2 linked regions of the Xenopus tropicalis genome follow. The protein of the gene in region 2 purifies or fractionates together with the protein of the main gene of each other region. This does not show direct contact. Links are inferred from orthologs where the notes say so. Each region holds a gene or a part of one and is shown on either strand. Other genes may lie near its edges.

Region 1 (16,039 bases), on a different chromosome or scaffold from region 2:
TTTTAATTAAAAAAAAAAAATTTGCATTTTGTAAAAGATGAAACGTTCAACAGCTTTGCAAATAGAAATGTCACATTAACAAACATGAAAATCCAGAACCATAACAGGGCAGTTAGAAACAAAATGTCCATGGTTACAGAAGTCCTTGACGCTTTAAATCTTCGTAGGTCTTCTTATTTACAACATTCCCACTGGAATCTTCGTATTCCTCCTATTCAAGTACAGAAAAAAAAACACTGTTCAATAGAGGCACAGTGTGTTTCATTGTCTCATACATATAAAACATGTACATAAGGAAATCCGGCAGTGAATAACTGTAGGTATATAAAGCATGTCATGAAAAATAAGATTTTACCAGAAAAATACAAGCGCATTATACTTAAAACTGATTTCCTTTTTTTCTGTAATAAAGCAGAACCTTTTACATGAGCCCATCTAAGATATCATTATTCCTTATTGGATGCAAAATAATCCTATTGGGTTTAATTAATGTGTTTAATGATTTTTTTAATAGACTTAAGTTATAGTGTTAAAAATTATGGAAACACAGTTTATCTGGAATACCCTAGGTCCCAAGCATTCTAGATAATGGATCCTATACCTGTACCACAAGTGGCACATAGTTACTTGGGGATAGGTAGTCACTACATCAAAGAAAAACACTATATAGCTATTTTTGCTGCAGCTCAAAATAAATCTCTGCTACCGTGGGTGACTAATGTCCCCAAAAAGCCTTTCCACTAGCAATAAAGGGAATCGGCGGTTGAAAGGCCTACGCATTGCTCCCTTTTTCCCCGTTTTGCCTGCAGGAGGAAACTGTGTGTGACTTTGGAAAAACAAAATGATGCATAGGCCTTTCCACCACCGATTCCCCCCGTGGGACTTTAGCCTAAAGGTTTATATTTAATCTCACAAAATTGGGACCACAGAAACTAGATAGCTGCTGTAAGAAAAGTAAGTAAGAAGAGTAAGAAAAATTATTCAGACCAATTGCAAATTGTCTCAGAACATCACTGAGGGGTCCCCCAAACTTTTTTACTCATGAGCCAGAGTCAAATGTAAAAAGACTTGTAGAGCAACACAAGCAGTATAGAAGTTCATGGAGGTGCCAAATAAGGGCTAAGATTGGCTATTAGGCAGCCTCTATGCACACTATCAGCTTACAGGAGGCTTTATTTGGTAGTAAATCTTGTTAAGTCAGGCATTCAAAAATAACTACCTGGTTTGGGGGCACAGAGAGCAACATCCAAGGGGTTGGTGAGCAACATGTTGCCCCTGAGCCACTGGTTGCGCATCACTGGTCTAAAGCCTACAAAAAGTTATTTTAAAGGTAAATTACCCCTGTTTGGAACTGCAATTACCCCTGCAAATATTTCTATGAAAACTGGATACGTTTAAAAACAAAACTGCAAAGCACTTTTCATAAGGACATCAAATATGATATGGGCCCAACAATGTTTAAGTATTTTTTTTTTTGGTTTCTATTTATTGTGTTAGGTATCCATGACTGCGGAAAACAACAGGTTTTGCACATCTGCATACAATAACCATGACATATCTGGTTATATGCTCAGGAGGAATTGTATGCACTTTGATAAATCCCAGTAGTCTTGATTTGCAGTAAATGACTTTCTGAAATTACAAACTAAAATGAACTAAAAGCAGAAAACATTACCACTTACCTTACTTAACACATTTACAACTTAATTTTTAATTCATTAGCAAGTGAAATGGCTACTTTACCATCCTGCAAATTATAGAGGTCTAAGTTTAAGCCAGTGTTAATACAGTAAGGACTCACCTCTGTATCAGGCTGCCATCTTTCAGAGGCCTTCTGATGCTTCAGCTTTGACCACACTATAAGTGAATGAATAGACAAGTATGTAATATATGCAAAATTGCTCATTAATAGGTTAGTTATAATTATAGGTTAGTTCTCTAATGTTTAATACAATTAATAACTGCAAAATTCCAGAGAGCAACAATTGGTAAGATAGGTGACTGATGAAATGAAATATGTGCTAGACTGAATTCATGAGAAAAAGCTTTACTTACAGGACACAGCATCCTCAATCTGTGTTACATTAGCAAAGTGTGCAGTGTTTGGAATGCCAAGACATCTCATGCCATGAGCATGACGCCATTCCTATGGATTGAAAGAAAACATAAGTCAGTCAGTACTGGGTCAGACACAGGAAGGGAAAAAAAAGTACAAAATGCTGCATTTCACCATGCCATGAAATGGATTTATAGGCCTCCAACTAGAGCTGAACTAATTTTATCTTATAAAAAACAATGGTAGGTGGTGTAGTTCAACTGACAATATGCTGCTTGAATGCCGCTTTCTTCTGGTTAAAATATAATATAATGTACAGCATCTCTGTAATGACTCCATCTTATCCTACATGCATTTCCTAGGAACCAGCTATGAATAAGCCATCAAACAGGTTGTTATCCTGTACTTTACTGAAGTGTTTAATGTCCAATAGCAATTTCATTCTGTCTTCTTTTTAATAAAGAAATAAGCTATGGGTTGTCACATACAATTTTTGTGACATATATACAGAGGTTTTCTGTTTAACAATCACTTTCTGCTCAAAAGGGAAACAAATTTTGCAGTACTAATTGGTTTTGCATGGAAAAGCATGCTCATATTAAACAAATGTTTTTATACATAGATAGCATGAATTTCAGTATTCAGTATTTTAATTTCAATGCTTTAGATTACTTTCTGATTAGCAGTAAAAAGGCTTTTTTGTAGTTTATAGAAAAACAACCTTTACAGTTAAGGTGATCAGAATACAGCTGTGTCTAAAAACACATGTTTTAGTCTAGTTTCAATACCCATTATAAAGTTCTGTACCACTCAAAAATCATAAAAAAATATTTATTTCAATCCATTAAAAACATTAACAACCCCACATGAATAGCCTAACGTGTTTTATGCTTACCTAGAAACTTAATTTAAAATGTTATTACTGTTCCAAATAAGGAGAGATCACAAAAATACATCTAAGTGTTAACAGACAGTGTCATCCCTTAGACAAGATGTGAAATAGTGGCACTCAGCTGTCCCTCCATATAGGCACAGCAGTAAATTCTTCCAGCAACCAAACTTGCATTTCCAGCAAGTAATTTTTTACTGCCATGCCAAGATTGTTAAATCTATCACAAACCAGTGAGCTGCAAAAATACAATTATGAAACTTAACAAATTGATGTGGGACTTTTTGCTTATATGTTACACTATCTTGTTGTCAAAACAGAGATTTACTTGCTGGCACCTCAAATATTAATTATGCTGTGGGGAATAAAGAAGAGGACAGAATAGTGCTTGTGGAGAGCAGATAACGAGAGATGAAAGAGAGCATAACGAAAGCAGCAAAAACAAGAAGATAGTGGCAAGACAAAGAATGGGAAGAGGGGGAACGGAATAGAAGTAAGAACTGAGAAAGCTACATGGAGAACAGAAGAGAATAGGGAAAGTGAAAAGTTTAGCTGGGAGAGAGCAAATATAAAAAAGATGGGAAAAAAGTGGAAAGGAAATAAAAAAAAAAGGATAATTTTAATCTGAAATGTTAATAAGCGCACTTCTGTAACGGTAGCATAACAATGTTCTTAAAACGTTTATAATTTTCTGGCTAAGGGGTCTTTCTTTAGTTTGCATCACCATTCCTTAAAGCAGAGGTTCACCAACTTTTTTTACCCGTGAGCAACATTCAAATGTAAAGAGCAAGACAAGCATAAAAAAGTTCCTGGGGTGCCAAATAAAGACTATTATCTATGTATCAACCCCTATGTGAAGGCTCTGATTGGCAGTACACCAGGTTTTTATGCATCAAAAATGTGCCTCCAAGCCAGGAATTCAAACATAAGTGGTTGAGGATCGCTGCCTTAACTAGCTTTTACACATGGAATAAAACCCAACAGCATTTCTGACATCCATATGGAGTGCAGCTTAGTTAATGCTGCTTTAATAACATAGATAGAGCCTAATAATTTAGAGACATATATCCAAATTGTAGACAGCCTGTTTCTATCTTATTAAAGCAGCCCTGGATGCATAGTTGGCCACAAAGTCATTGAGTAATCTCCTCCCACAATTCATTAAGTGAGGGGTAACTATTTTTGGTTATAAAGCAGTGCTATGTGTATGTATGTATGTATATCTTTATTTATAAAGAGCTACTTATGTACGCAGCGCTGTACAGTAGAATACATTAATACAAACAGGGGATTATTAAGATAATAATAGATAAATACAAAGTATAACATATACAGATAAATACAAGATAAATACAGTTGCAATAAGTTAAAGAGAGTTAAAGACACAAGAGGATGGAGGTCCCTGCCCCGTAGAGCTTACAATATATATAACTGAGGCATGTAAATGCCCTATGTTTTAGAAAGCCTTTACACTGCAAACCTGTGACGAGTACTATATAGAAGCGGCAGTCATCCCACATGTGAGGTACATAGTAATAAACAATCTATACAGTTTTGTAACAACCACTAACACGCAGAAAAAAAAAAAAAAAAAAAAAAAACACCTCACCGCAAAATGCCTCTGGAAAGCTTTGGGCCCTCTGTAGGTGAAGTTTCCGCAAATCTCACAGTTGTAGTTGATATTCAGGCCATGTAGCTTGTATAACCAATAAGGTATAGGCTGCAAAAATATGAATATATGAGCAACAACTACTTGAGTCAATTTCTTTTTTTTAATACTGTAAAATAAACATTACACAGTGCTAGCTACCCAGCTATCTCTAATGCTAAATCTGCAGGTAGTATTCTTTTCTATTGTGGAGGACAGAATTATGGCCTGCTGGCAGAACATGGGCACAGATTAAAAACATGTTTGAACTGTGTTAACTTCCCCCAAGTCCATGCCTGACTAACTGCAACTCAGCCAACTCCACCCATATGGACTACTTTTGCACTGCATTTCCATAAGTGTACAGTAACAAGTAAGGCCAACAAATTGGTGCAACTGGCAAAATCCAAGGTAAGGGTAATGTAACAATTTTAATCTAACATCTAATCTAACATTTTTTTCAACATCTAACTAATCTAATTTTATTTTTACAAATGCATTCTAATTACATTCTTTTCTAGGTTTTTCTTTTTTTTAAATGACTAGTGTGGCAGTTTCAGCAGTATCTATAGGAAATGCCTTGGATAAAACAAATATAGCGGTTCAAATCCAAATCCATCAAAGAGTTTTAATGTTGTATTTCCTTTTTTCAGTCAGATGTACCTATCCCTACTCCTGTTCCAAACATATGGATTAAGGTCACCTAGGCATCAAACGAACTATTAATAAAAATTGGTAGGTCGCTCATACTGGAAACCTTTCAGGTTACAAAACTCACCCCCCCCTCAAAAAAAACAAAAAAAAAGGACCACAGGACATAAAAATATGAATATGTACAAAGAGACCCTTTGCCCAATGCAATCTAAGTTGCATAACATGGTCACCCTTAACACCATGCTTACCTTGCCATCCCATCCAAGAGGAAGGTTTTTAGGGTTGTAAATAATCTCATTATCCTCATCATCACTCTCACTCTCACTGATCTGTTCTTCTTCTTCTTCTTCCCTCTCCTCACCTGTACGGGCTTGTTTACGCTGTACATTCTCATGGGTCAGATGTCTCTGTTCCTGAAAACCAAGAAAGTATGCATGGTTATAGACTAATAAATAACAGCAAAAGTTTAAGCCTAAATCAACATTGATAAATAAGTCTCCCCCATTTTGAAAATTACTTTTGATAAGGCAAGTGTCCATTTTACCTCTTTTTAATTTCATTCTATTTTATGGAAAAACTTTTCTGACTACATAGGCCAAACAGTTAAATAAATAGCACTGATCACCAGGCAGTCGAAAAACAAGCCAACAAAACAAACAACTTGGATTTAGAGGGGAGCTTGGAAATAGACACAGACAATACTGTGTGCAAGAATCTAAGGATCATTGTACATACAGTATTATTCATTATGGTTACTTACCCCTAGAATTTCAACATATTCATACACCTGAGCTTCAAGGAATGCAATGTCTTTGTTTTTCTCTGTGTCTCTGTATGAAAAAATGCAACATTTTATTAAACAGATTACTGTGCAATGAAATGCATATATTATCCTCTAATTGTAAGTAATGCCTACTGAAATCACTTACCACTGCTCAAATAGTACAACTTAGCAAGTCTTATACGTATAGCTGCAAATTGCATGTTTGTGTATGTACCTGTGTCATTCACCCAAAGAGATCAATATTTCACACCAAAGATCTCCCCTATTATACTTACGACATTCCCTGCTACACGGTTGAAGCGAATACAACTTTTCTGTACCTATAAACAGTCACTTTTTCTACTATTTAACAACCCTCGATTTCAAAGAGGGGAAACAGATTCCCAATTTGATCTGTGGAATCGCAAAAGGCAATGGTAGGATTATTACTAAATCCTTATACATTCTTAGAACTGCAAACAAAACAGTGACTCCCCAATAATATCTTTGCATAGCTAAAGATTAAAGGCTATGTAAATTTGGTGACAAAGTATAAAACCACAACTGTCTCATAACCCCCTAGATATACTAATAAGGGTTAATAAAGGGTGACTCCTCTTTGCATCAGGGGGTTTCTACCATCATAAAACCAATGATACATTACAACCTACGTAATAAGTTTTGTGGCCTTGTACCGCATTAGATGCCTTTTGGGGGAAATGTCTTAACACAAGTAAGCACACTGTGCAATATCCCCATTTCTCATACAAATCCACAGATACTACTAGGGTTATACCCTAAATGCACAGACAGCAGCAAAAAAAGGTTATCTTTTGACTGTTGATCTTTATGACTAGCAGAAATACTGGTCTTGAAAGCAATAATTCTATCCTAGAATGCTGAATGACCACATAACCTCCTTCAAAACAACTGTGGGAACGCAAACTACTATACACAATGCAACTTCAATGGGTCTTAGCACTCCAAGAAAGGCTAACATTTCTACCATGTCTGGAATAAATACTTAAGATACATCGAACAGCCGAAAACAGCATAAAGTACTAGCCCTCTTCCAATACACTAAATGGTGGGCAGAAGCTTCTCTTCTAGGTGAACTAAATAACCAGACGACAGGTCGTGAGAGTTACAATCCCGCTTCCTCTTCCCCTTCCATATAAAGATAAAAAAAAAAAAATGTACTATCATTTACACACCTTACTAAATGGCCTTCTCTGCTCCATGATCCCTCTTTTATCCTCTCATCATCAACAGATTGTAAACACAAAGCTAAAAATGAGGTTTCAGCTCTCACTGAAGACATCATGAGAGTAGAACTGCAAACTACATTTATACATAATTGTTTTAAAACAGCTGCAATCTGACTGCAGTGGAGTACAATCATTTATTGGCCCCCTTACCTGCGAGTTCCTTTCGCTTTAGGATTTTTTGCAAACAAAGATGGATCCAGAGACTCCAAAGATTTGCCTTTTGTGCTGAAAAGTCTTTGTGCTCTTTCTTCCAATGTCCTAGAAAGACAGAACAATAAATAAACTCCTTAAACGTAGACTTAACATAAGTCTTTATGATTATATAGAGAATCTGTTTTAAGTTATGCCCTTTTATTTTAAACTGTGAATGCAAAACAATTTGATACATGTTCACTTACATATTTAAACAATATAATGCATTGTGTGATACTAAAATGGCAAACCGCCATTTTGTTATACAACAGGAATCAAAGGCAAACAATCTACTGAATGCACATGCAATATAAATTCAATTTATTTAAACGTGAAAGTCAACACCAATATGTTTATGCTACAGCAGAAAAAAATTCTGTCTGCATTATCTATAACTGCAAGCTCACTTACCCTCCACATTTAAGGCCTAAAGCCATCAGTGCAGATTTTAATCTGTCAAGACCAAGAGAGGCCAACTCCTGCAACAAGAAAAATAATTTCAAACAAGTTTGTTGCAATATGACTTGGATAAAGCTACAAAAACCCAATTATGAACATCTTCTCCCAAAAAAAGAGATCTGTGTCTGCTGTAAAAAGCTCATGTTAATTAAAATGTCTTAAAAAAAATTTAGTGTTACCTTTCCTTTAAGTAAAAAAATCTATTCTACCCTGCCCCAATAATTACCTTATCCTGCACACCATTTATTATTTTGAATTTATTATAAAATATCTGCTAAAACTTGGCTTCCAGTCATTTGAAATAGGGAGATACGGAGATGCAGGGAAGAATCCACTATGCGACAATTGATTGATCGATCCTAGCCTTCCTTCTGTATAGGAAGGAGTCAGGCTAGGCTCGATTATTGGGGCAGGGTAGAATAGATTTTTTACTTGAAAATTTTGTGTTACTTTTCCTTTAAATACGCACCTGTAAAAATGTTTTATACACATATCCTATGAAACATCTTATATTTCCTTTATAAAAACAATGCTTTGGAGATACAACCCTCTAGCTACTAGCTAGTACACCATTATTTGAAGTATAAGTGAAAATTCCTCACAAAGCAGTTAATGACTTATTCTTCCATAATAAAAGACAAGGGCTGATGTCTCCACACATTTTAACATCAGAAGTAATGTCTCCATGCTTAAACTACTACAACGATTTGTGTTGAAATAAACACATCCCTAAAAATAGCACAAGGTTGAAAATACATTGTTTGCAGACTTCAGCAAGTAAAATGCCATCTACAAAAAAATCCATAATAGTGTTTTTACAAGCAGTGTAATTGTTTTTGCTGCTAGAAACCAACTGAAAAAAAATTGTACACGTCATAGAGATATTCCACAAATCTTCACTATGGATGTTTCTCTACACCCATTCTCTTTAATATTGTGGGAAAGATGAGAGGGCTTTCAAATACTTACCTCCCAAGAAGAGAAGGCTGACAGGTCCAGGTGAGCGCCAGCATGAGTGAGTGCGCTGCTTGTCTCTTTCTAAAAACAGCAACATTATCATTACCACAAGGCTCTTCTTATATTTTTAACATAGAAATACTCCTGTATATTAATAACATCTAGAATATATGCACACTCATGTGCTCAGACTTGGGGTTATTCCCTCATATTTTATGTATAACATTTGCTTAAGCTTCTGTTAATATTACAGCTTGATGAAAATATGCTTGTTACTTTAACCTAGATACAGTGCGTAAAACATTCAAGCAAATAATTATTCACCCATAAATGGCAAGAAAAATGTAATTCCTATTTCACATTAAATACAAATCTTTTTTGCTATTTTGATTCAAGAGTCATAACCAGCAGTTCAGAAATTAAATACAGCTACTGGTTAAATAAATAATACATTACATTTACAAATAACCTTAAAGCCACTGACAAACTTTCAATAAATGTATATAAGAGTTAGAGATATTTTTTTTTTTTTTTAATAACACAAAACAATTTTGGGTGGACATCCCCTTTAATATTACCTAATTTTGAACTAAGGGTCTAGGTCTATAAGAACCTCCACCCCAAGGTCGATTCATGAAAATTGGAGGTTACTTTACAAAATATACACTATAAAATTAGCAATTTTTTTTTTAAACACTACTATGGCACTACAATGACAAGTTTACCGGCCAGCCAGGAAATGCACCAGCCTCCCACTTCTTCTCAAACTCAATCTGTATTTTCCCAAAGAGCTCATTCTGATCCTGTAAAGGCTTCACCCGATCTGTATAGTCTTGAAGATATTCAAGAAGTACTTCCAAATACCTGTGGAGTAATTGTGGCAACAGGGATTTAGTCTATTATATAGATAAAAGAATTGGAGCAAAAGTACAAATTTCCAAGCTGCAGTGAATACAACATTTTGAAATCCATGTAACATGAGCTTGTTGGAAGAAATCAACCCTGTTCTCAAAGCTCTAATATTATATGTTTTTCAAAAACCTTGTGACCAGAACTCAATGCAAAGTTGCATCCCTAACAACTATTTTGTAAACTTATAAAATATACAGACAGATCTAAATGTTGTCAGACCCATTAACCCACCGATAATGAGTATTTTAGATATATTTTAGGTATAGCTACTATTTAAATGTGTATGTCTTTCTAAGAAGTTTAGGTTTACACCAGTATAGGCTAGAATGTATTTTGACCAATAGATACACATTATCACTTATTTTTAAGTACAAACCTTTTGTATTCTGCATTTTTCCTCTCTTTTGGAATGTCAAAAAGCTGGTCAAAGGTTGCAAGGTATGTGATATAATCTAATTTCTGAAGAAAGAAAACAAACAAACAAACATAAAACACAATACAAATTTTGCTATATACAGCATGCAAACAAGCTATATCATATATACATACACACAAGTATGGGATCCAGAAAGTTTTGAAATACAGGAAGTCCATCACACACACAATTTTTTTTATAATGGAGTCTAATTTTTAAACATGATTTCCTTTCTCTCTGTAATAATTAAACAGTGCATTATACTTGATGGTAAGATAATTAATCCTTACTGGTGGCAAAACAATTCTATTGCCTTTATTTAATGTTTAAATTATGTTTTTAACAGACTTGGTGTGGTGAACCAAAGTATGGAAAGATTCCATATATTTCTTGGTAGCTTAATGCACAGAATGTCTTAATCTTAATGTCCTATATATTGATAATAGGTTAGTGCAGGGGACCTTTTGTTTTTGTCTAAATGAATTTTGTTGGCCATAGTTGGCCAGCTTGAAATATATTGCAACATATGGAAAAACAATCCCTGTTGTCTAAAGGGCAGGGCTTTTTTTCAGTAGCTTAATTAGCAGAATGTTATAATATATATAAAATTGGTAAGTGCAGTGGACCTTTTGTTTTTGTCAGTATGAATGTTTTGGTCACAGCATCATTACACCCCTGCCTAATGGTTTATAAAATTGGTGAGCACAACTTTCCCTATATATTAGAATAGCATCAGGGCCATTTCCAAACACAGAATACAATGGAAAAAAAATGACTAGTGCACCAACATCTAATACACAGGGAACACATACACTGAATATTCAACAATACACTTACTACACGTAACTGAATCGCATAACAGTGTATGTTTGTTAAAGTAGCATTGCACTGAATGATCTAGTACTATTCATCTTCATCACCAGTTTTATGTGGTGTGTCATACAGAATAGATGTGAACAAATAGTTCAAGGGAGTGGGGTTGATGAAAGGTAGTATGTTAATGCAGTCATTGACTAAAAAGTATATCAAGCCGTTTTCATTCAGTCACGTTGTTCTCAAACAAATATATCATTTTAGGCCAAGAACAATCTTATAAAGTCATGGTACAAGTAAAGCAAAAATTATATCCTAAGAATGGCGCATTTTTATATACAGACTATTACTTAAGTATTTTGTTGCGAAATGCAGAAAAGTGATTTGCATTGAATTCTTACCTCTGAAGATTTGAGGTTAATATATTTCAGGTAGCAGTCATGGAGATCCATATATCTGCCATAGCCCTCTTCATCTGTAAATTCCACCAAATCTGTGTGGTACACAAAGAAGAAGGTCAGTGACCCCTACTCTAAAGCTGTGTGGTGCGCACTAAGAATTCTGTGCAAAAACACAAAATTTTGTATTTACTCTTACCAGAATATTCAGTTTTAAAAAGATGTGCACACAGGTTTAAAATATGTGTGCAAAATATTTTTTTTACACACATCCAAGAAGGAATTAGAGGGAACATTGGTGGTAGGAGCCCAAAAGGTCCCAAAAACTTAAATAAAAGACAAACTTTAATTTAACACACATTTTTTATTATATGATTTCTGTTCACCAAGACTCTTTTAGACTGCCTGAAACAGTCATTTTCTCCCTCGCTATTATAACATTTTCTTTTTAAATGTTAGGCATTACATATTGAGAATAAAGTCTTCATCAAGCTTAAAGGGGACCTGTCACCCTAAGAAATAATTACAAATTGTTTTATATTGTGTTTGTCAAGCAAAATAAACTTGAATTACACTACATACATTTTTTGAAACTTATTTCCTTCACCACTGGAATTCATCATTGCAGAAAACAGGCAGGCTCCATTTTGTGGACACTGTTATTAAAGCAAGCTGTGCATCCTGCCAAAATCTTGTGTATGTGCCAGAATGGGGGGGGGGGCTGATACCTATATCCATGCACTGGTTACAAAATTAGATGGTAAGGAAAGAGGGGGAATGTGAAAAGTGCAGTGACATCTAAGAAGTTCTGAATTGAAAGAGAGATTTTTGTACTTACCGTTAAATCTTTTTCTCTTGTCCTACGATTGGGGAACACAGGCACCATGGGGATGAAGATCCTGCAGCTTGGAGAATGGACACTAAAAGGTTAAAGTAGCTCCTCCTCCTGCTCAGGGCTTCGTCCCCCGCCTACTTCCTCTACTTGCCAGTTTGTTTTTTACCGAAGAAGGAAGGAAAAGGACCTAGCCGAGAATTGTAACCCACTCTTAGGAGAAGGAGCTCCCCCGGGAGACCCCCAACCAGAATGATTAACTGGATATAACTCAAAACTGTAACCCTTGAACTGTAGTAACTCGTATTAACATAGGGAGGGAAGGCCTGTGTTCCCCAATCGTAGGACAAGAGAAAAAGATTTAACGGTAAGTACAAAAATCTCTCTTTCTCTTGCCTACATTGGGGAACACAGGCACCATGGGGACGTCCCAAAGATTCCCATGAGGGTGGGACATCCAATGAACTCTTGGTGGTTCAAGGAATAACTGTCTAACACCTTCCTCCCGAAGCTAGCTTCGGCAGAGGAGTATGTGTGAATCTTGTAGAACTTCGAGAAAGTATGTAAGGAAGACCACACCGCAGCCCTGCATACCTGTTCAGCGGAGGCCTGATTTCTCATGGCCCACGAAGTGCTTAATGATCGTGTAGAATGAGCCCGGACCTGGAAGGGTGGTGGTCTTCCTCTGGTTGCGTATCCTCTAAGGATGGTAGCCCTAATCCATTTTGCTAAGGTGGTCTTGGAGGCCTTTAGACCCTTTCTGGGGCCTTCCGGTATAATGAAGAGGGTGTCCACCTTTCTAACCTTTTTCGTTGCCTCTATGTAAGTCCTAAGCGAGCGTACCACGTCTAGGGTGTGAAGTTTCTCCTCCTGATGGCTTTTGGGATTAGGGCATAGGGAAGGTACCACAAGGTCTTGGTTAAGGTGGAATTCCGAAACCACCTTCGGCAGGAATTCCGGTGTTGGTCGCAAGACCACCTTGTCAGCATGGAAGATGGTGAACGGGGACTTGTGAGACAGGGCTGAAAGTTCCGACACTCTTCTGGCCGATGTGATTGCCAGTAGAAAAACGGTCTTGGCTGTCAGTGTTGAAAGAGGGATGGAGTCCAGAGGTTCGAATGGATCCTCCTGTAGTGCCGACAGCACCAGATTTAGGTCCCATGGTGGGATGGGGTGTCTGTACGGAGGGGCGATCCGCAGGGCACCCTGTAGGAAGGTTCTTATGTTCGGTCGTAAGGCCAGCTGTTGTTGGTAAAGTACGGACAGTGCTGACACCTGTACCTTCAAGGAGCTGAGGGCGAGCCCTTTGTGGAGTCCCTCCTGAAGGAATATTAGAAGGTTGCCCTCTTCCAGGACCTGTGGGTCCCTGCTGTTGGTCTCACACCACGTGATGAATGCTTTCCAAATCCTGTGGTAAATGCGGGCTGAGACTGCCTTTCTTGCTCGCAGCATGGTTGGTATGGCTTCGCGTGGCACTCCTGTCCTGGCTAAAACTAGGGCCTCAAGAGCCACGCCGTTAAAGCCAGCGACTGTAAATTCGGGTGGACGCATGGACCCTGCGTCAGGAGATCCTCCCTGGCTGGAAGGGGGAGCGGTTCGTCTGCGGAGAGTTCTATCACGTCTGTGAACCATGGTCGGCGTGGCCAGTAGGGGGCCACCAGGATGGTGCTGATGCCCTCTCTTCTTATTTTCTTTATGACTCGGGGCAGAAGGGCCAGGGGTGGGAACACGTATACCAGCTCGAACTGCCACGGAACTACCAGTGCATCTACTGCCAGTGCTGATGGGTCCCTGCTTCTTGCTATGAATCGAGGTAACTTGCGGTTGTATCGTGATGCCATGAGGTCTACTTCTGGTAGGCCCCATCTTGCCACGATTTCCTGAAAGGCCTCTGGGTGGAGGCTCCACTCTCCCTGGTCTAGAGTTTGACGACTCAGGAAATCTGCTGTCCAGTTCTCTACTCCCGGAATGTGGACCGCGGAGATTGCAGGGACATTCTGTTCGGCCCATAGTAGGATCCTTTGTGCCTCTGCTAGTGCTCTTTGGCTGCGTGTTCCTCCCTGATGGTTGATGTAGGCCACTGCTGTCTGATTGTCTGTTTGTACTCTTATCGGGTGGCCTCTTAGGAGATTTGTCCAGTGAGCCAGTGAGAGGAAGACTGCGCGGAGTTCTAGGATGTTGATGGGGAGGGAGCGTTCTTCCCTTTTCCAACGTCCCTGGACCGTTCTGCTTGCCAGGACTCCTCCCCAGCCCTGTAGGCTGGCGTCCGTTGTCACCACTGTCCACTCGTGACTTGGGAAGGGGCTCCCTAACTGTAGTCTGGGTGGGTGTTGCCACCAGGAGAGAGATGCCTTGACCTGTGGTGGGACTGATATTACTCTGTCCAGGTTTTGTCGGTCCCTCCTCTGTTGTAGGATGATTAGTCTCTGGAGTGGTCTGGTGTGCAGTTGCGCGTATGGCAGCGCTGGAAATGCTGAGACCATTGTGCCTAGGGTCTGCATGCAGATGCGTAAGGGTAGGCTGTCCGCTTGTTGAATTGTGGAGATCCTTCTGCACAGGGTGGCTACTCTGTCCGGAGGAAGGAAAACTCTCCTTGCGGCAGTATTCAGGGTGAGTCCCAGGTACTCCACACTCTGCGCTGGTGTGAGGACTGACTTTTGGTAGTTGATCAGCCATCCCAGACTTGACAGTGACTGGATCAGAATCGAGAGGTGATGGTTGGCTGCTAGCACCGAGGGGGCCTTCACCAACAGGTCGTCCAGGATGACCTTGACTCCCCGAAGTCTGAGGCCTGCTAGGGCTGCTGCCATTATCTTTGTAAAGATGCGCGGTGCGGAGGACAGGCCGAAGGGAAGGGCCACGAACTGCCAGTGTTCCCCTGCCACGCAGAATCTGAGGAAACGGTGGTGGTTGGGGTGAATCGGTACATGTAGGTACGCATCCTTGATGTCTACCACCGCCATGAATTCTCCCGGTTCGAGGGACATTAGGACTGATCGTACGGACTCCATTTTGAAGTGATGTCTTTGGACGAATTGGTTGACGGCCTTGAGATCTAATACTGGGCGATAGGAGCCGTCCCTCTTGGGCACCATGAAGAGGTTTGAATAGAAACCTCTGCCCTTTTCGGAAGTTGGGACCGGGTGCACCACTCCGGAGAAGACCAGGTTGCGCAGGACCTCCTTGTAGGCGGAGCGTCTGGGTTCCTGAAGTGGTAGGCGTGACATGAAGAAGCGTTGGGGAGGTGGTTGAGAAAACTCGATTAGGTAGCCGTTGGAGACTACTTGGAGGATCCAGGGGTCTTGTACCTGGTTTAGCCACACCTCCCGAAAGTGTCTTAGGCGGCCGCCTAAGGGGATGCCTTCGGGGGTGGGCACCCCTTCAGGCAGAGGTGGACTTGTCCTGGGAGGACTTGGAGGTGTTCTTAGTATTGGACCAAGAGGTGGACTGCTTGGCTGGGTATCTGGGTCGGAAGTGTCCCCCCGACGAAGTCTGATGCTCCTTAGAGGCTGCTTTTTGTCTTTGGCCCTGACGAAAGGGCCGAAAAAACGGTCTACGTCTGAATGGGGGTCTCTTGTGCTTGTTTTGTGGGAGCAGGGTACTCTTTCCCCCCGTGGCCTGCGAGATGATTTTATCGAGTTCAGCCCCGAAGAGCTGTTTTCCTGTGAAGGGGAGGCTGACTAGGGATCTTTTGGACGCGAGGTCCGCCGACCAAGTCTTGAGCCACAGGAAACGTCTGGCAGCGATGGATTGTGCTGAGGCTTTTGCAATGAGCTTGGCCGC
Region 2 (16,039 bases):
TGCTCCCGGTGCATTTCCAGTGCACAATCCCCATTTTTATTGTCCTAAAGATCTTGTTTCCCCTTAACCCTTTGGGTGCCAGTAACATTTAGGGACACTTGTCTCTAGGCAACATGGTTTTGTCATTGCCTGTAACGTAATGCAGAAATGTATTCAGGTCTGTGGAGTCTACGTTTTGTGTCAGGAAAGCAGTTAAAGGAGAAATTAACCCTCCTAGAAGGCATATGGAACAGACCCACTGCCCTAACCAGATGCCCTGCCCAATCATACGTGACTAAATTAAAGGGGTGTGTTTGGTGGCGGCCATGTCTGCTCACAACACTGGCACAAATTGCCAACATGGAGGGTTCAAACTGGAAGCCAGTAACAGATTCACAGGAGGGGGAGGAGACTCCATGCAGGGGGCCAGATACTTACTACAAGGGTTTACTTCTCCTTTAGAACAAATCCACCATTCTGGCAGGATTTGTCCTTCAGGTCTTTATTATGGTTCTTCTTCCTCCCAAGGGCTCCAGTGCCTTTTTGTGTATTATTCAATCCTAGGAAAATTCCTTCCAAATATCTGATATATTGCCGGTCATTCTACAGGCAGCAAACTAATGCTTTATTAGATTGTAAGCTCTTGATGTACCATGTCGGTGGTAAGGAAGCAAATCTCGTCAGTTGTAGAGCTGCTTGGCACGGCTATATACAGCAGCACAGTTATTTCACTTGGAGCATAAAACTAGTACTTTACCTATTCCAGGAGTTGGATCTGTATTTGGCCAATATTTGGATTTGACTGCACCTTTATTTATGGTCATGTGGTTTTAAAGTAACCGACAGCCGGATGTCCAATCCCTTGTGGGGTGTTTGGCCAAATCCAAAATAATGGATTGTGTAGCCCTTAAAACAAGGTTTTATACCCCAGATGTTGCCCACTGAGTGTAGGCAGCTAAACTGGAGGGTCCATGTCGGCCTTCACCTCCTTGCAGTGAGGGTCTCTGACCCTGGACCTGAGCTGTGCTCCCCGCTTCCCTCCAGCAGTGGGTGCTGTTGCCATTATCCCACAGACAGAGAGGAGTCTTGGGATTTGTCCCATGTGACTAGAGAGAGTGCAGTGCACGTGGGATCATGTGATGCACCGTGTGGCAGTCAGATGCACTCAGTATTTTGCACAATTGTTATTCTTACCCCAGAAATGTGCCACCGACTTCCAAGCTTTATGCCCAATTGGCAATGATGCCCCCGTACGCTGATATCATTAGATGCACAGCTATAGCAATGCCCTGCAGCCAATCAGAAGCAGCTTACTGGTGCCAGGCCTGTGAGCCTCTGTGCCAAGGAACCAACACTGCTGTGTTCTGCTGGGCATGTAGGGAGCAATATAGGGCACCCTGTCTTGGCTTTATAAATAGATTTAAAGGGTAAGGATACCCTCGCTTACCTAACATGGAGACGGCGCCAGTATCCATGCGGAATTTCCCACTCGCTCTTGTCTTTCAGGAAGTGATAGAATTAACCAAAGACCTTCTATCCTCACAACCCTCGGAAACGGCAGATGATGCCTGCGACGACATGTCCGCCAGCGGCAGCCAATCATGGAAGGTTGGAGAGAAGTGCATGGCGGTCTGGAGCGATGATGGACAGTAAGTGCAGTGAGCTGTATATGGGTGATATGGTAAGCTTTGCTGGGGCCTTTGGTCTGGCTATCGAATGTCTACTTGCTCTGCACTCCATTCGCCCAATCCTGCAGGGACTCACTTGCTTAGTTGGGGGGGTGTTTATATTACGTGAACACCGTTTCATTGTAATGCAATTTGCCGACTCTCTGAAACGCAATTGATCTTGCTGGTGTTAAACTGCTTTGTCTTTAATACAGCATAAAGCCCCCCCCCCCCCCCCCCGTTCATTCTGTTACCCATAATAAGCCCCCCAAGCCTAGGTTTGCTTTGCAGCGTTTAACATTTCCTCGTTGCCTTGCCAAGCCTTTACTCACATGCTTACAGCCATGATATCTTTACAGGTGGTACGAGGCGGAGATCGAGGAAATAGACGAAGAGAACGGAACTGCGGCCATAACCTTCGCTGGCTATGGCAATGCCGAAGTCACGTCTCTGCTCAATCTGAGGCCGGTCGAGGAGGGGAGGAAAGCCAAGGAGGACAGCGGCAATCTGCCTATGTCAAAGTATGTTTCCATTTCAGCATAACACCTCACTTATTTGCCCCCCACCAATAACGCAAGTGTCCAATAGTGGCAGAGATTTTACATCATCAGGCTCTCGGGCCACCTTTTTAGCACTTCAAAAATATTTAGTTCTATAAAGACCTTATTTGCAATTAAATAGTATTAAACGTAAAGTACATGATAGAATGTTGTATGTTGTATAGAAGGTTCAGGTAGGTTAATAAAATCCCATCTGAAGCTGCTCTGATTTGCCGCAGAGGGGTAAAAAATTCCTTCCTGATTTCAAGATGGCAATTGGACCAGTCCCTGGGGCAACTTGTACTAAGAGCTATCTCCCATAACCCTGTATTCCCTCACTTGTACTGAGAGCTATCCCCCCTACCCCTGTATTCCCTCACTTGTACTGAGAGCTATCCCCCCTACCCCTGTATTCCCTCACTTGTACTGAGAGCTATCTCCCCTACCCCTGTATTCCCTCACTTGTACTGAGAGCTATCCCCCTACCCCTGTATTCCCTCACTTGTACTGAGAGCTATCCCCCCTACCCCTGTATTCCCTCACTTGTACTGAGAGCTATCTCCCCTACCCCCTGTATTCCCCCTCACTTGTACTGAGAGCTATCCCCTACCTGTATTCCTCACTTGTACTGAGAGCTATCCCCCTACCCCTGTATTCCCTCACTTGTACTGAGAGCTATCCCCCTACCCCTGTATTCCCTCACTTGTACTGAGAGCTATCCCCCCTACCCCTGTATTCCTCACTTGTACTGAGAGCTATCCCCCCTACCCCTGTATTCCCTCACTTGTACTGAGAGCTATCCCCCCTACCCCTGTATTCCCTCACTTGTACTGAGAGCTATCTCCCCTACCCCTGTATTCCCTCACTTTGTACTGAGAGCTATCCCCCTACCCTGTATTCCCTCACTTGTACTGGAGCTATCCCCCCTACCCCTGTATTCCCCTCACTTGTACTGAGAGCTATATCCCCCTACCCCTGTATTCCTCACTTGTACTGAGAGCTATCTCCCCTACCCTTTATTCCCTCCTTGTACTGAAGCTATCCCCCCTACCCTGTATTCCTCACTTGTACTGAGAGCTATCCCCCCTACCCCTGTATTCCCTCACTTGTACTGAGAGCTATCCCCCCTACCCCTGTATTCCTCACTTGTACTGAGAGCTATATCTCCCCTACCCCTGTATTCCCTCACTTGTACTGAGAGCTATCCCCCTACCCTGTATTCCCTCACTTGTACTGAGAGCTATCCCCCCTACCCCTGTATTCCCTCACTTGTACTGAGAGCTATTCCCCTACCCTGTATTCCCTCACTTGTACTGAGAGCTATCCCCCCTACCCCTGTATTCCCTCACTTGTACTGAGAGCTATATCTCCCCTACCCCTGTATTCCCTCACTTGTACTGAGAGCTATCTCCCCTACCCCTGTATTCCCTCACTTGTACTGAGAGCTATCCCCCTACCCCTGTATTCCTCACTTGTACTGAGAGCTATCCCCCTACCCCTGTATTCCCTCACTTGTACTGAGAGCTATCCCCCTACCCCTGTATTCCCTCACTTTACTGAGAGCTATCCCCCTACCCCTGTATTCCCTCACTTGTACTGAGAGCTATCCCCCCTACCCCTGTATTCCCTCACTTGTACTGAGAGCTATCTCCCCTACCCCTGTATTCCCTCACTTGTACTGAGAGCTATCCCCCTACCCCTGTATTCCCTCACTTGTACTGAGAGCTATCCCCCTACCCCTGTATTCCCTCACTTGTACTGAGAGCTATCCCCCCTACCCTGTATTCCCCACTGTATGAGAGCTATCCCTCCTTGTACTGAGAGCCTATCTCCCATAACCCTGTATTCCCTCACTTGTACTGAGAGCTATCCCCCCTACCCCTGTATTCCTCACTTGTACTGAGAGCTATCTCCCCTACCCCTGTATTCCCTCACTTGTACTGAGAGCTATCCCCCCTACCCCTGTATTCCCTCACTTGTACTGAGAGCATCTCCCCCTACCCCTGTATTCCCTCACTTGTACTGAGAGCTATCCCCCCTACCCCTGTATTCCCTCACTTGTACTGAGAGCTATCTCCCCTACCCCTGTATTCCCTCACTTGTACTGAGAGCTATCCCCCCCTACCCCTGTATTCCCTCACTGTACTGAGAGCTATCTCCCATACCCCTGTATTCCCTCACTTGTACTGAGAGCTATCCCCCCTACCCCTGTATTCCCTCACTTGTACTGAGAGCTATCTCCCTACCCCTGTATTCCCTCACTTGTACTGAGAGCTATCCCCCCTACCCCTGTATTCCCTCAACTTGTACTGAGAGCTATCCCCCCTACCCCTGTATTCCCTCACTTGTACTGAGAGCTATCTCCCCTACCCCTGTATTCCCTCACTTGTACTGAGAGCTATCCCCCACCCTTAACCCCCTGTTAATTCCCCCTCCTCACTTGTACTGAGAGCTATCTCCCCATACCCCTGTATTCCCTCACTTGTAACTGAGAGCTATCCCCCCTACCCCTGTATTCCCTCACTTGTACTGAGAGCTATCTCCCCTACCCCTGTATTCCCTCACTTGTACTGAGAGCTATCCCCCCTACCCCTGTATTCCCTCACTTGTACTGAGAGGCTATCTCCCCTACCCCTGTATTCCCTCACTTGTACTGAGAGCTATCTCCCTACCCCTGTATTCCCTCACTTGTACTGAGAGCTATCTCCCTACCCTGTATTCCCTCACTTGTACTGAGAGCTATCTCCCCTACCCCTGTATTCCCTCACTTGTACTGAGAGCTATCCCCCTACCCCTGTATTCCCTCACTTGTACTGAGAGCTATCCCCCCTACCCCTGTATTCCCTCACTTGTACTGAGAGCTATCTCCCATAACCCTGTATTCCTCACTTGTACTGAGAGCTATCCCCCCTACCCCTGTATTCCCTCACTTGTACGGAGAGCTATCTCCCTACCCCTGTATTCCCTCACTTGTACTGAGAGCTATCCCCCCTACCCCTGTATTCCCTCACTTGTACTGAGAGCTATCCCCCCTACCCCTGTATTCCCTCACTTGCTAAATACTTATCCAGCCCCTTCTTGAAACTATATAATGTATCTGCCAGTACAACTGGGTCAGGGAGGGAATTCCACAACTTCCCAGCCCCCCCTGTAACTCCCCTTCATTGTACCTATATAATGTATCAGCCAGTACCACTGATTCAGGGAGGGAACCCCACAACTTCACAGCTCTCACTGTAAAAAATCCTTTGCGACAATTTCATTGGAACCTCCCTTCTAAACGGAGTGGGTGCCCTTGTGTCCGTTGGAAGGCCCTACTGGTAAATAAAGTATTAGGTTATTATATGATCCCCTTATATATTTATACATAGTTATCATGTCACCTCTTAACTGCCCCTTCCCCAGTGTAAACAGACCCAACTTGGCCAGTCTTTCCCCATAACTGAGACTTTCCATACCCTTTACCAGCTTAGTTGCCCTTCTCTGGACCCTCTCTAACTCAATAATGTCCCGTTTGAGCACTGGAGACCAAAACTGAACAGCATATTCTAGATGGGGCCTTACCAGCACTCTGTAAAGGGGAAGAATAACCCCCTCCTCCCGTGAATCTATACCCCTTTTAATACAGCTCAATACCCTGTTTGCCCTTGCAGCTGCTGCCTGGCATTGCTTGCTACAGCCAAGTTTATTATCTACAAGGACTCCAAGCTCCTTCTCCATTATGGATTTGCCTAGTGCAGTCCCTTTAAGGGTATAAGTGGGGGCATATTTTTACATCCCAGGTGCATGACCTTACATTTATCCACATTAAATCTCATCTGCCACTTAGCTGCCCAGATTGCCAGTTTGTCAAGATTCTTCTGCAAGTTGCCACACCCTGGGTAGAACTGGGCTGCAGAGTTTTGTGCCATCTGCAAACACTGATACATTACCCATAATCCCCTCCCCTAAGTCATTTATGAACAAGTTAAACAAAAGTGGACCCAGTACAGAACTTACTCCCAGTAGAGAATGTGCCATTAACAACCCCCCTCTGTTGCCAGTTTTCTATCCATGTGAAAACGACTTCACTAAGACCAATAGCCCTAAGCTTAGAAAGCAGTCGTTTGTGGGGAACGGTATCAAATGCTTTGGCAAAATCCAAATAGATTATATCTACTGCCCCCCCCCACTGTCCAGCTTCTTACTTACCTCATCATAAAAAGCAATTAAATTGGTCTGACATGACCTGCCCTTCATAAAGCCATGCTGATTCCTACCCATAATGCCATTCTCCAGTACATATTTTTGTATGTGATCCCTTAACAAGCCTTCAAATAACTTGCCCACCACGGATGTCGAATTTCAGGCCTATAATTGCCCGGCTGGGATCTTACTCCCTGTATAAATATAGGAAAGACATTCGCCTTCTTCCAATCTACTATTAATATACTTAAAAAACTTTTTGGGGTTAGTTTTAGCCTCGGCCGCGATGCGCTCCTCATTTTCTATCTTTGCCTTCCGGATTGCTGTTTTACATCACTTGTTATAGTGTTTATATTCATTAAACACTGTCCCCTCTGACTTATATTTCTTAAAAGCTTTCTAGGTTTTGTCTCACCTAGTAACCCATAGCAACCAGTTAGATGTTCTTTTCAGTTAATGCTACCTGCTGATTGTTGCTAAGGGTTTTACTGAGTAGTAATATTATGACCATTAGTTATATAACCCCCGCACTGTGCAAGAAAAAAAAAGGTATTGGGCAGATGATAATTTAGACTGGGGCAGTTACTGAGTTGAGGCCCTTGTGCTGGTTGCCTAGGAACTCTCTTACCCCCTTTCATTTGGTTGGGCAGGAAAGAGATGATCGCTGCCCAGAGAGAATATAAGAAGAAGAAAGCGCTAAAGAAAGCCCAGAGAATAAAGGAGCTGGAGCAGGAGAGGGAAGACCAGAAGGTGAAATGGCAGCAGTTCAATAACAAAGCCTACTCCAAAAACAAGAAAGGCCAGGTAAGGTTCTGCCTGCCCTGTATTCCTACCTTCATATTGGGTTATGTTTATTATTGTAAGCCCTGCTGCCCTCTAGTGGTTAAATACAACTCATGGCTGGTTGGAGGATCATGGGATTGATCATAACACCTTGGCCTTGTTCTATGGCTACACTGTTCCCTCTCCTGTACCTGAGCCCACTGACTAACTTGCCTCTTTCCATTCTTACTCAGCACGTAGCTGTGTAATTGCCCCTGGGCTGCCAGTTATATGTGCCTGTGAGAATATTAACCTTTCTATTGAACTTGTGTGAGTGTTTCTTGTGTTACATCAAGGCCAGTCAGTAATGGCCACAGACCTGGGCATTTAGCTGTGTGTCCGGCTGAGAGAGAGAGGCTTTTGGCTCTCCTAGAACTTATCCTTTTATTGGCTACGGCCCAATTATCCCCTGGGCAGAGGACGTTCTGCCATTCTCGGATGTTTCCATTCTGACCCATCTGCTCTTGTTTCAGGTCAAGAGAAGTATCTTTGCCTCCCCCGAGAGTGTGACAGGGAAGGTGGGAGTGGGCACGTGTGGCATTGCAGACAAACCCATGACACAGTACCAGGATACGTCCAAATACAACGTGCGGCACCTCATGCCCCAGTGACGGCGGGACTGGCCGGACGGATTCTCTGCTGGGCTTTGCATTTTATCAATATATTTTTCTAAAACTAAATTATTGGCTGTTGTATGAGGAACATCGAGGCGGCGGTCTCCTTTCACTTTAAGAACTGTCTCCTCTGATTTCATGTCCCTCTCTCAGCCGCAAGAGTGATGGACTGGGGGTGCAAGGTGATTAATGTGCCCGATGCCCCCCACTTACAGGATGCAAATCTGTCACCTCTTTACCTGCAGCACCGATGCTCTTTGGACTCAGCGTGGGGGGGTCTGCCCTGTTTGGTCATTTGTGCCCCAGGGGTAGGGTTCTGCAGGGTCACGTACTGGCAGCATCTAATGGAGACACAGTGCACAATGGGTTAAATGATGGGGCATTTGGTGCCCAGTTAAAAGCACAAAGCTAGAGGTTGACAAACTGTTGGTCGTTCCTAGCCGCTGTTGGGATGCGGTGCTGCCTGCTAGGGTGATCGCTAGGGATTTACCTACCATAGTTACGGAAGTTGTGTGCCAGGTACCCTAGCTCTATTTAAAGCTGAACCCCCCCAGTTTAGGATTCCCACACAGACCAAAGCTTGATGCTGATTCTGGTCGCTCCGCGTAAGCTGCCATATTGGGTATTTGGGCAGCCCGTCATTCTGTATCCACTCGCTGACCCACACAGGCCAATAAATCCTCCGCCGGCCGGCCTGCCCAATATCTGGCCTAATAGATAGCAACTGAGCAGGTTTCATGTTCTTGCCCAATGGGATGTCGATGCAGGTTTAATCCACCTACAGGCCCCGCTCTATGGGTCAGCGATGGGATCAGCCCAAGGTGGCCAAACAAGTGGATCGGGCAGTGATTGGCCAATCCGCCGCCACAAGAGAAGGTTCCTGTCCGTTCCTCATACACAGTTGTAATTTGTGTAACAGTCGTAGGGCGAGCGCGTGGGCTGCGTGCCCTGTATATATATCGTTTTTGTACATAAAAGTCTCGTGGGTAACGATTGTGAGTTTGTTTTAATCCCGTGTGTAAATAGGGAATTGCCATTTTGTTACTAGAAAGCCCCTTGCAGGGGTTAAACCTTAATAGCCCTCCCACTCCATCCTCTCTCCTCCTGTGTGGTGCTAATACGCCCCCTAGAGTCCAGTAGCTCTAGCGCTTCTAATGAGAAGCTGATTGGCCGGGTTCCGTGCCTGATGTTCTGGACAATATTTAGCCGGGGCGGGAGGCTAATTTGGTAGCAGGGAACGTCCTGTGTGTTGGTTCCAGGGAAGAGCGAGTACAGAGTGTCCTGTGCAGATGCCAGCTGTGCCCCCCCTCATTGCCTGACCCGGTGCCAACGTATCCCTGCGCCTCACTGCTTCCCCCCCCCCCGGGCACTCTGGGTTTGTCTTTCTGACACCAACTGTACATTTTCCTATTGTAACTAAATGATGTTTTCTCACCTGTGGGAGGGGCAACATGGCGGGGGGTGGGGGGGGCGTGTTTTGTAAAACTGAAGAATAAAGGTTTCTTGTGCCAGACCCCCTGTATCCAATGGGCTTCTGTCCAAAAATGGTCCGAAAACCTGTGTTGTTGCCTTATTCTAGGCAGCTTACCAATATCCATTAATTTCCTTTGCACTGCTGGTTCTGACTCCTGATACAACTCCCCAATACCCATTCATTCCTCATTCTCACTGGGTTTATAGTTATGTGTCACTGTCACTGTGTCTGTCCCTTTCCCTTCTCTGCACTGCTGGTTCTGACTCCTGATACAACTCCCCAATATCCATTCATTCCTCATTCTCACTGGGTTTATAGTTATGTGTCACTGTCACTGTGTCTGTCCCTTTCCCTTCCCTGCACTGCTGGTTCTGACTCCTGATACAACTCCCCAATATCCATTCATTCCTCATTCTCACTGGGTTTATAGTTATGTGTAACTGTCACTGTGTCTGTCCCTTTCCCTTCCCTGCACTGCTGGTTCTGACTCCTGATACAACTCCCCAATACCCATTCATTCCTCATTCTCACTGGGTTTATAGTTATGTGTCACTGTCCCTTTCCCTTCCCTGCACTGCTGGTTCTGACTCCTGATACAACTTCCCAGTGGTGGGGAGACAATAGGGCAAAATTTAAGGTTTAAATGAAATAAAGTGTAAGTTCCAGCTGCTTGGGATGGACAGGGGGTGCTGGGAGTTACAGCTGAGGGGCTTTACCCCACCCACTGCCCCTGCTATAATATTGGGGTACAGCCTGTTCTGCCTGAGGTGCTGCCAGACACTTCCCTCCTCTGATGCCTTACTGGCTTGTTAAAGGGGTGGGGTCACCTTTCAGTTAACTTTTAGTATATTATAGAATGGCCAATTCTAAACGACTTTTCGATTTATTCCAGTTATCAAATGTGGGTCACTGACCCCGGCAGCTAAAACCTATTTCTCTGTGATTGTTACTTTTTATTATTTTTCATTCTATTCAGCCCCTCTCCTATAAATGTCTCTCATTCAAACCACTCCCTGGTTGCTAAGGTAATTTGGACCCTAGCAACCAGATAGCTGCTGAAACTTCAAAAAGTGAAATAATTACAAAACCACAAATAATTTGCAATTGGTCTTCATTTTTTATTATCTCAGAATATTACTCTCTACATCATACTAAAACTTAACTCAAAGGTGAACAGCCCCTTTTATGAAGTTGATCTTCTTACCCCACCATGTGAATGAATCCGCCCCCGGGGCGGCTGAGAGCCGGAGTAGCACAAACACATGCGCTGAGCCCAAAATAACCCCCGTGGGGCCGTTAAGATGAGGATTTGTGCTAATCTGGTGCCCTTAATCCACTCGGCCAAAGCCCCGCAGGCTCCTCAGCAGCCCCCGTGTCTGCCCACTAAGGCACCAAGTAACCGGCGTCTGGGGCCTGACAGTGGCATAAGGAGAAGGGATCGGCCCATCCATTTGTTCTGGGAGTTCCTGTCGTCCCTTTACTTCCACTGGGGCCTCTCTAGTCCAGAGCAGCCCCCATGGGAACAGTTGCTCCCATTCAGCCACAAGGGCATTAGTGAGGTTGGGCAGTGATGTTGGGGGTCAGGCTCACAGTCGGGGTTCCATCCCACAGGGGGTCAGTTGGGTTGCCCGTCCCCTTGCTGCTATAACTGCCCCTGCCCTTCTGGGAAGGTTCCCACTAGATGGTGGAACAGTGTTGCTGGGAGTTGCTCCCATTCAGCCACAAGGGCATTAGTGAGGTTGGGCAGTGATGTTGGGGTCAGGCTCACAGTCGGGGTTCCATCCCACAGGGGGTCAGTTGGGTCCCCCTCCCCTTGTTGCTATAACTGCCCCTGCCCTTCTGGGAAGGTTCCCACTAGATGGTGGAACAGTGTTGCTGGGAGTTGCTCCCATTCAGCCACAAGGGCATTAGTGAGGTTGGGCAGTGATGTTGGGGGTCAGGCTCACAGTCGGGGTTCCATCCCACAGGGGGTCAGTTGGGTTGCCCCTCCCCTTGCTGCTATAACTGCCCCTGCCCTTCTGGGAAGGTTCCCACTAGATGGTGGAACAGTGTTGCTGGGAGTTGCTCCCATTCAGCCACAAGGGCATTAGTGAGGTTGGGCAGTGATGTTGGGGGTCAGGCTCACAGTCGGGGTTCCATCCCACAGGGGGGCAGTTGGGTTGGGGTCAGGGCTCAGTCAGGTTCTTCCCATTCTGTACGGATCTGGCTCTGTGCATGGGGGGGATTATTGTGCTTAAACGGTAAAGGCCCCCCAAACTGTCCCACAAAGTAGGGAGCAGGGAATTGCCAGGAATGTCATTGTACCCTGTAGCCTTAAGGTTTCACCAGTACCTGGGGCCCAAACCATGGTAACAGCCCCAGCCCGTTATTCCTCCTCCTCCACCAAATGTACCCATTCAGCTCTAGAGTCCATATTAACAACGACCAATCGAATCTCTGCTTTCATTTACCCCCCCCTGTATCAGTCAGTGTGTGTAACCTGTGCCATTCTCATTTCTGATTGGTTGCTATCAGCTCAGTTTGGCCCTTATGTAATAACCTGTGATACAATACATTTCTGCCCAATGAGAGGCCCAAGACAATTTTTCTGGATCACTTTATTAGTGGTGCCGGGCGGCCCGATACAGAAATAACTACAGAACCAAATAAAATAGTGAATTCAGCAATAATAATAATAATAATAATTTAGTGTCAGAATTAAATTAGTTTCATAATTAAGTAGATAAGGCGGAGTCACATAATGCCTGTGAGTTGGATTAGGATGTGGAGGCGGAGTTTATAGCTGCCAGCCTGTGTCCCTATCTATAATTGGACTACAGTTCCCAGAAGCCACCTGGGGAAATACCATCCCAGCAGCTCTATCAGGGGGAGCCGAGGATTCTGGGATGTGGTTTGTAACAGATTAAAGGGGAACTCCACCCAAACAAACAGTGCAGCAGCCGGGCACTCTAGGTGTTCGTGCCAGATGATTGGCCCGTGCCACAGCAGCTCTGCCACACTGTGTGCCATCCCCCCAGATACCCGGGGGCCCCGGACGTCGCACAGGTGAATGCACCTTTATTACAGTTACATTGGCTTTCAATATGAAAAAAAGCAATGTTTTGGGTGAACTTCCCCTTTAGTGGAATGTCCCCTTTAGATTTGCCCTTAAGCAGAAAGTGAGGCCTATGGGCCCCAGGAAATGGGGCGATACCTTACCCAGAATGTACCCTTCCTGCCGGAGCTGCCATAGAGTTTAGTAGCAGAATCCAGGCACGAGCACTAGAGGGTGCTGCACCCACCCATGGGTGTCACTGCCCCTGCACAGACAGGGAATTACATGTTTTGACTTGCCCTTTAGCCGCAAGATGCCCCGCCCCCTCCGAGTCTTGCTGCTTGAGCTGGGGAATAGTTAATGGGGGCAAACTCTAATCACCCCCACTCTGGGTTGGAAAGGGTTTATGGGGGAGGCAGGGGCCACAGAGGAAATAACCAATCACCGCGCCTGCGCAGAGGCACCGGTGTGCGTCCAGCCTTGGATGCCCATTGGATGGCAAAGCTCTAATAGTACAAGCTGGGAGGGGCAAGCTGTGCCCCGCCCCCACAGAGTAAAAACTGCTCTCACTGCCCCGTAGGGGGCAGCGGAACGCACCGACCATTAGACAACTTACAAAGTTGAACATAAACTTGTCTAGAAGACAGTCCCACGTACGTGGCCAGGTAAGTACACCTGAGGGGCCCGCCCACTTACTGCACCTAGTGAGGGGCGGAGCCTTGCAACTCAATGCTCCCTTTCATAGTGTAGGGCTTTGTGTCCCAAGCCTGCCCGCCAGTAACGCAGGGCAGGGGATTCTGGGAAGGCAGAGGGTGGAGCCACTGTATCACATGACCAAGAAAACAATAAATTAAACACAAAGAAGAAAGGAAACGGGGATCCAAGGCACCAATTGTCACCGCGGTGATGTCATCGTGATGTCACTACTTATATATTATTCCATCTTCTCACATTAAAAATATTCTCTTTTATCTGCAAAAATAATTTAAGGGAGTGCTACGGGGAGACCCGGAAGAACCGCCGCGCCCCGGGTTCTGGAAGTCCATCCGGAAGGATTAGCAGCCGTGGGGGTATTTGTGCATTTACTGCCACCGGACTACAGCCCCCAGCATGCCCCAAAGAGCTGCATGATGGGACGGCCCAGCTTAGAGATCCACCCAGTTAGATCGGAACCTGAAGGAACCCAATAAGATCCCAGGGACAAACGAATCTGTATAAAGACACAGTTCAAGGGAGGCTTGTGATTGGTCCACAGAGCGTGGAAGCCATTTTGGTTTAGCTGCCACTCGTGGGTTGGGCCTGAGGGGCAGAACCAGGCTCTTCACATTGCAGAGACAAGAGGATGGGTCGATGGTTTCTTATTCTTTAGCAGCAACACAAACATATGGGCCGGTACCTTCCAACCGAGGTCCGGATCTTCCCCAGCGCAGAACCCCCCGGCGCTGTAGCAGCTGTGTCACCCCCAGTAAGGGACCTGTGCTTGGGGGGGGGGGGTACGGGAGCTTTTGGTCCCAGATATTCAGGAGTCCTGCTGAGCTGCCATTTGTGCCCCCCAATACGTGCCCCGCTGGGCTCTAGGAGGTAAAGCACAACTTGATGCTGGCGCTGGAGTAGCCCTCGTCGCTGCCCAGGCTCTGCATGCTGCTCTGGTCGTCCAGGTCACTGATACTGGCGCTGCTGGTACCGGTACTGCCCACCTCCAGCTGGGACAATTCTGTGCTCTCAACGTCCACTTCAATCTCCTCTGCAGGGAAGAACAACATGGCGGGTCAGGGGTTAAAGTACGTACGGAACCAACCCATGGGTCCCAATGCTATGGCATCATACGGCACAGCGTGAGGTCACAATGGGGCGTGGTTTGTGTGGGATTGGCTGCATTCATGGGGAATGGGGAGGAGCTTGTGTGGGTCTGAGGGCATTAAAGGAACAGTAACACCAAAAAATGAAAGTGTATAAAAGTAACTAAAATATAATGTGCTGCTGTCTGCACTGGTAAAAGTTGTGTGTTTACTTCAGAAAGTCTACTATAATTTATATAAATAAGCTGCTGTGTAGCCATGGAGGCAGCCATTCAAAGGAGAAAAGGCACAGGCACATAGCAGATAACAGATAAAACACTATTGTATTCTACAGAGCTTATCTGTTATCTGCTATGTAACCTGTGCCTTTTCTCCTTTTTTCCAGCTTGAATGGCTGCCCCCGGGGCTACACAGCAGGGTATTTATATAAATTATAGTAGTGTTTCTGTAGCAAACACCCCAGCTGTACCGGTGCAGGAACGGCTGCCCCCGGGGCTACACAGCGGGGTATTTATATAAACTATAGTAGGGTTTCTGTAGCAAACACCCCAGCTGTACCGGTGCAGGAACGGCTGCCCCCGGGGCTACACAGCGGGGTATTTATATAAACTATAGTAGGGTTTCTGTAGCAAACACCCCAGCTGTACCGGTGCAGGAACGGCTGCCCCCGGGGCTACACAGCGGGGTATTTATATAAACTATAGTAGGGTTTCTGTAGCAAACACCCCAGCTGTACCAGTGCAGGAATGGCTGCCCCCGGGGGCTACACAGCGGGTATTTATATAAACTATAGTAGGGTTTCTGTAGCAAACACCCCAGCTGTACCAGTGCAGGAATGGCTGCCCCCGGGGCTACACAGCGGGGTATTTATATAAACTATAGTAGGGTTTCTGTAGCAAACACCCCAGCTGTACCAGTGCAGGAATGGCTGCCCCCGGGGCTACACAGCGGGGTATTTATATAAACTATAGTAGGGTTTCTGTAGCAAACACCCCAGCTGTACCAGTGCAGGAATGGCTGCCCCCGGGGCTACACAGCGGGGTATTTATATAAACTATAGTAGGGTTTCTGTAGCAAACACCCCAGCTGTACCAGTGCAGGAATGGCTGCCCCCGGGGCTACACAGCGGGGTATTTATATAAACTATAGTAGTGTTACTGTAACAAACACACTTTCATTTTTTGGTGTTACTGTTCCTTTAATGGGGAATGGTGAGCATGAGTGTGATTGGGTTCATACATGGGGAGGAGCTTCAGTGCAATTGGGTTCATACATAGGGAGGAGCTTTCAGCCAAAGGGAAATCAAAACAGAACCTGTGGCTTGGATTTGGGTCGGAGGTTTCATGACAAGCTAACGAGGGAGCCAATTACCTCTCTCAGAGTCGGATGGGTCGGTGGAAGCGTGGGATCCGATACTGTCTGACCGCACTCTCTCTGGTTCCGTGCCGCCCTGGAGCTGCTCCAGTCTTCTCTTCAGGAACCGCTGCTCCCGCTCTAGAACCTCCAGCTGGTGCTGCCCGCGCCGGGACGTATCTTCCAGTTTCTGGGAAGGGTAAGGGAAGTCAGTGAGAATTGCTGCAACAACCAATCACAGACAAGTTTCAATCTGCCCGAAAGGAAGACTGTGAGCTCTGTGGGTCAGGGGCGTATGGGTAATGGGTATTACACTGCCCAGTAACCCCCCGGTGTCACTGCTTGTAGCGACTCACCAGCAAATGCTGCAGTTAAAGGGACATTCTCCCAACTGGCGGCCAATATCGGCTAAGTGGCGCCTTACCTTGATATGGAGCTTGGCCTTATTGAGCAGCCCGAGGGTTGTGTGCCGCGCGGCGTCCGACTCCAGGGGTATCAGGTCCTTTAACCGCTCCAAACACAGGCGCAAGTGGGCTCTCCTGTCGGGGGCACAATAGGAGGAGGGGTCAGATT

What was found.
Region 1: the proteins of smndc1 (region 2) and sf3a3 purify together in Homo sapiens (affinity purification with mass spectrometry; 3 studies listed by BioGRID and IntAct, with this or other methods). This does not show direct contact. The link is inferred for Xenopus tropicalis from reciprocal best matches to the Homo sapiens genes SMNDC1 and SF3A3.

The regions. Positions count from the first base shown.
Region 1 is NC_030678.2:83,813,445-83,829,483, forward strand, and holds part of sf3a3 (splicing factor 3A subunit 3), read right to left. Parts: intron 11,520-16,039; coding exon 11,428-11,519; intron 10,258-11,427; coding exon 10,175-10,257; intron 9,751-10,174; coding exon 9,612-9,750; intron 8,968-9,611; coding exon 8,899-8,967; intron 7,950-8,898; coding exon 7,882-7,949; intron 7,537-7,881; coding exon 7,429-7,536; intron 6,078-7,428; coding exon 6,008-6,077; intron 5,661-6,007; coding exon 5,496-5,660; intron 4,666-5,495; coding exon 4,555-4,665; intron 2,147-4,554; coding exon 2,056-2,146; intron 1,858-2,055; coding exon 1,802-1,857; intron 212-1,801; coding exon 134-211; 3' UTR 1-133. UniProt on the Homo sapiens protein: Component of the 17S U2 SnRNP complex of the spliceosome, a large ribonucleoprotein complex that removes introns from transcribed pre-mRNAs.
Region 2 is NC_030683.2:2,915,187-2,931,225, forward strand, and holds the end of smndc1 (survival of motor neuron-related-splicing factor 30), read left to right. Parts: intron 1-1,485; coding exon 1,486-1,628; intron 1,629-2,005; coding exon 2,006-2,167; intron 2,168-7,020; coding exon 7,021-7,174; intron 7,175-7,665; coding exon 7,666-7,803; 3' UTR 7,804-9,319; downstream 9,320-16,039. Other genes in the region: mxi1 (max-interacting protein 1), read right to left, coding at 13,889-14,058, 15,485-15,656, 15,891-16,005. UniProt on the Homo sapiens protein: Involved in spliceosome assembly.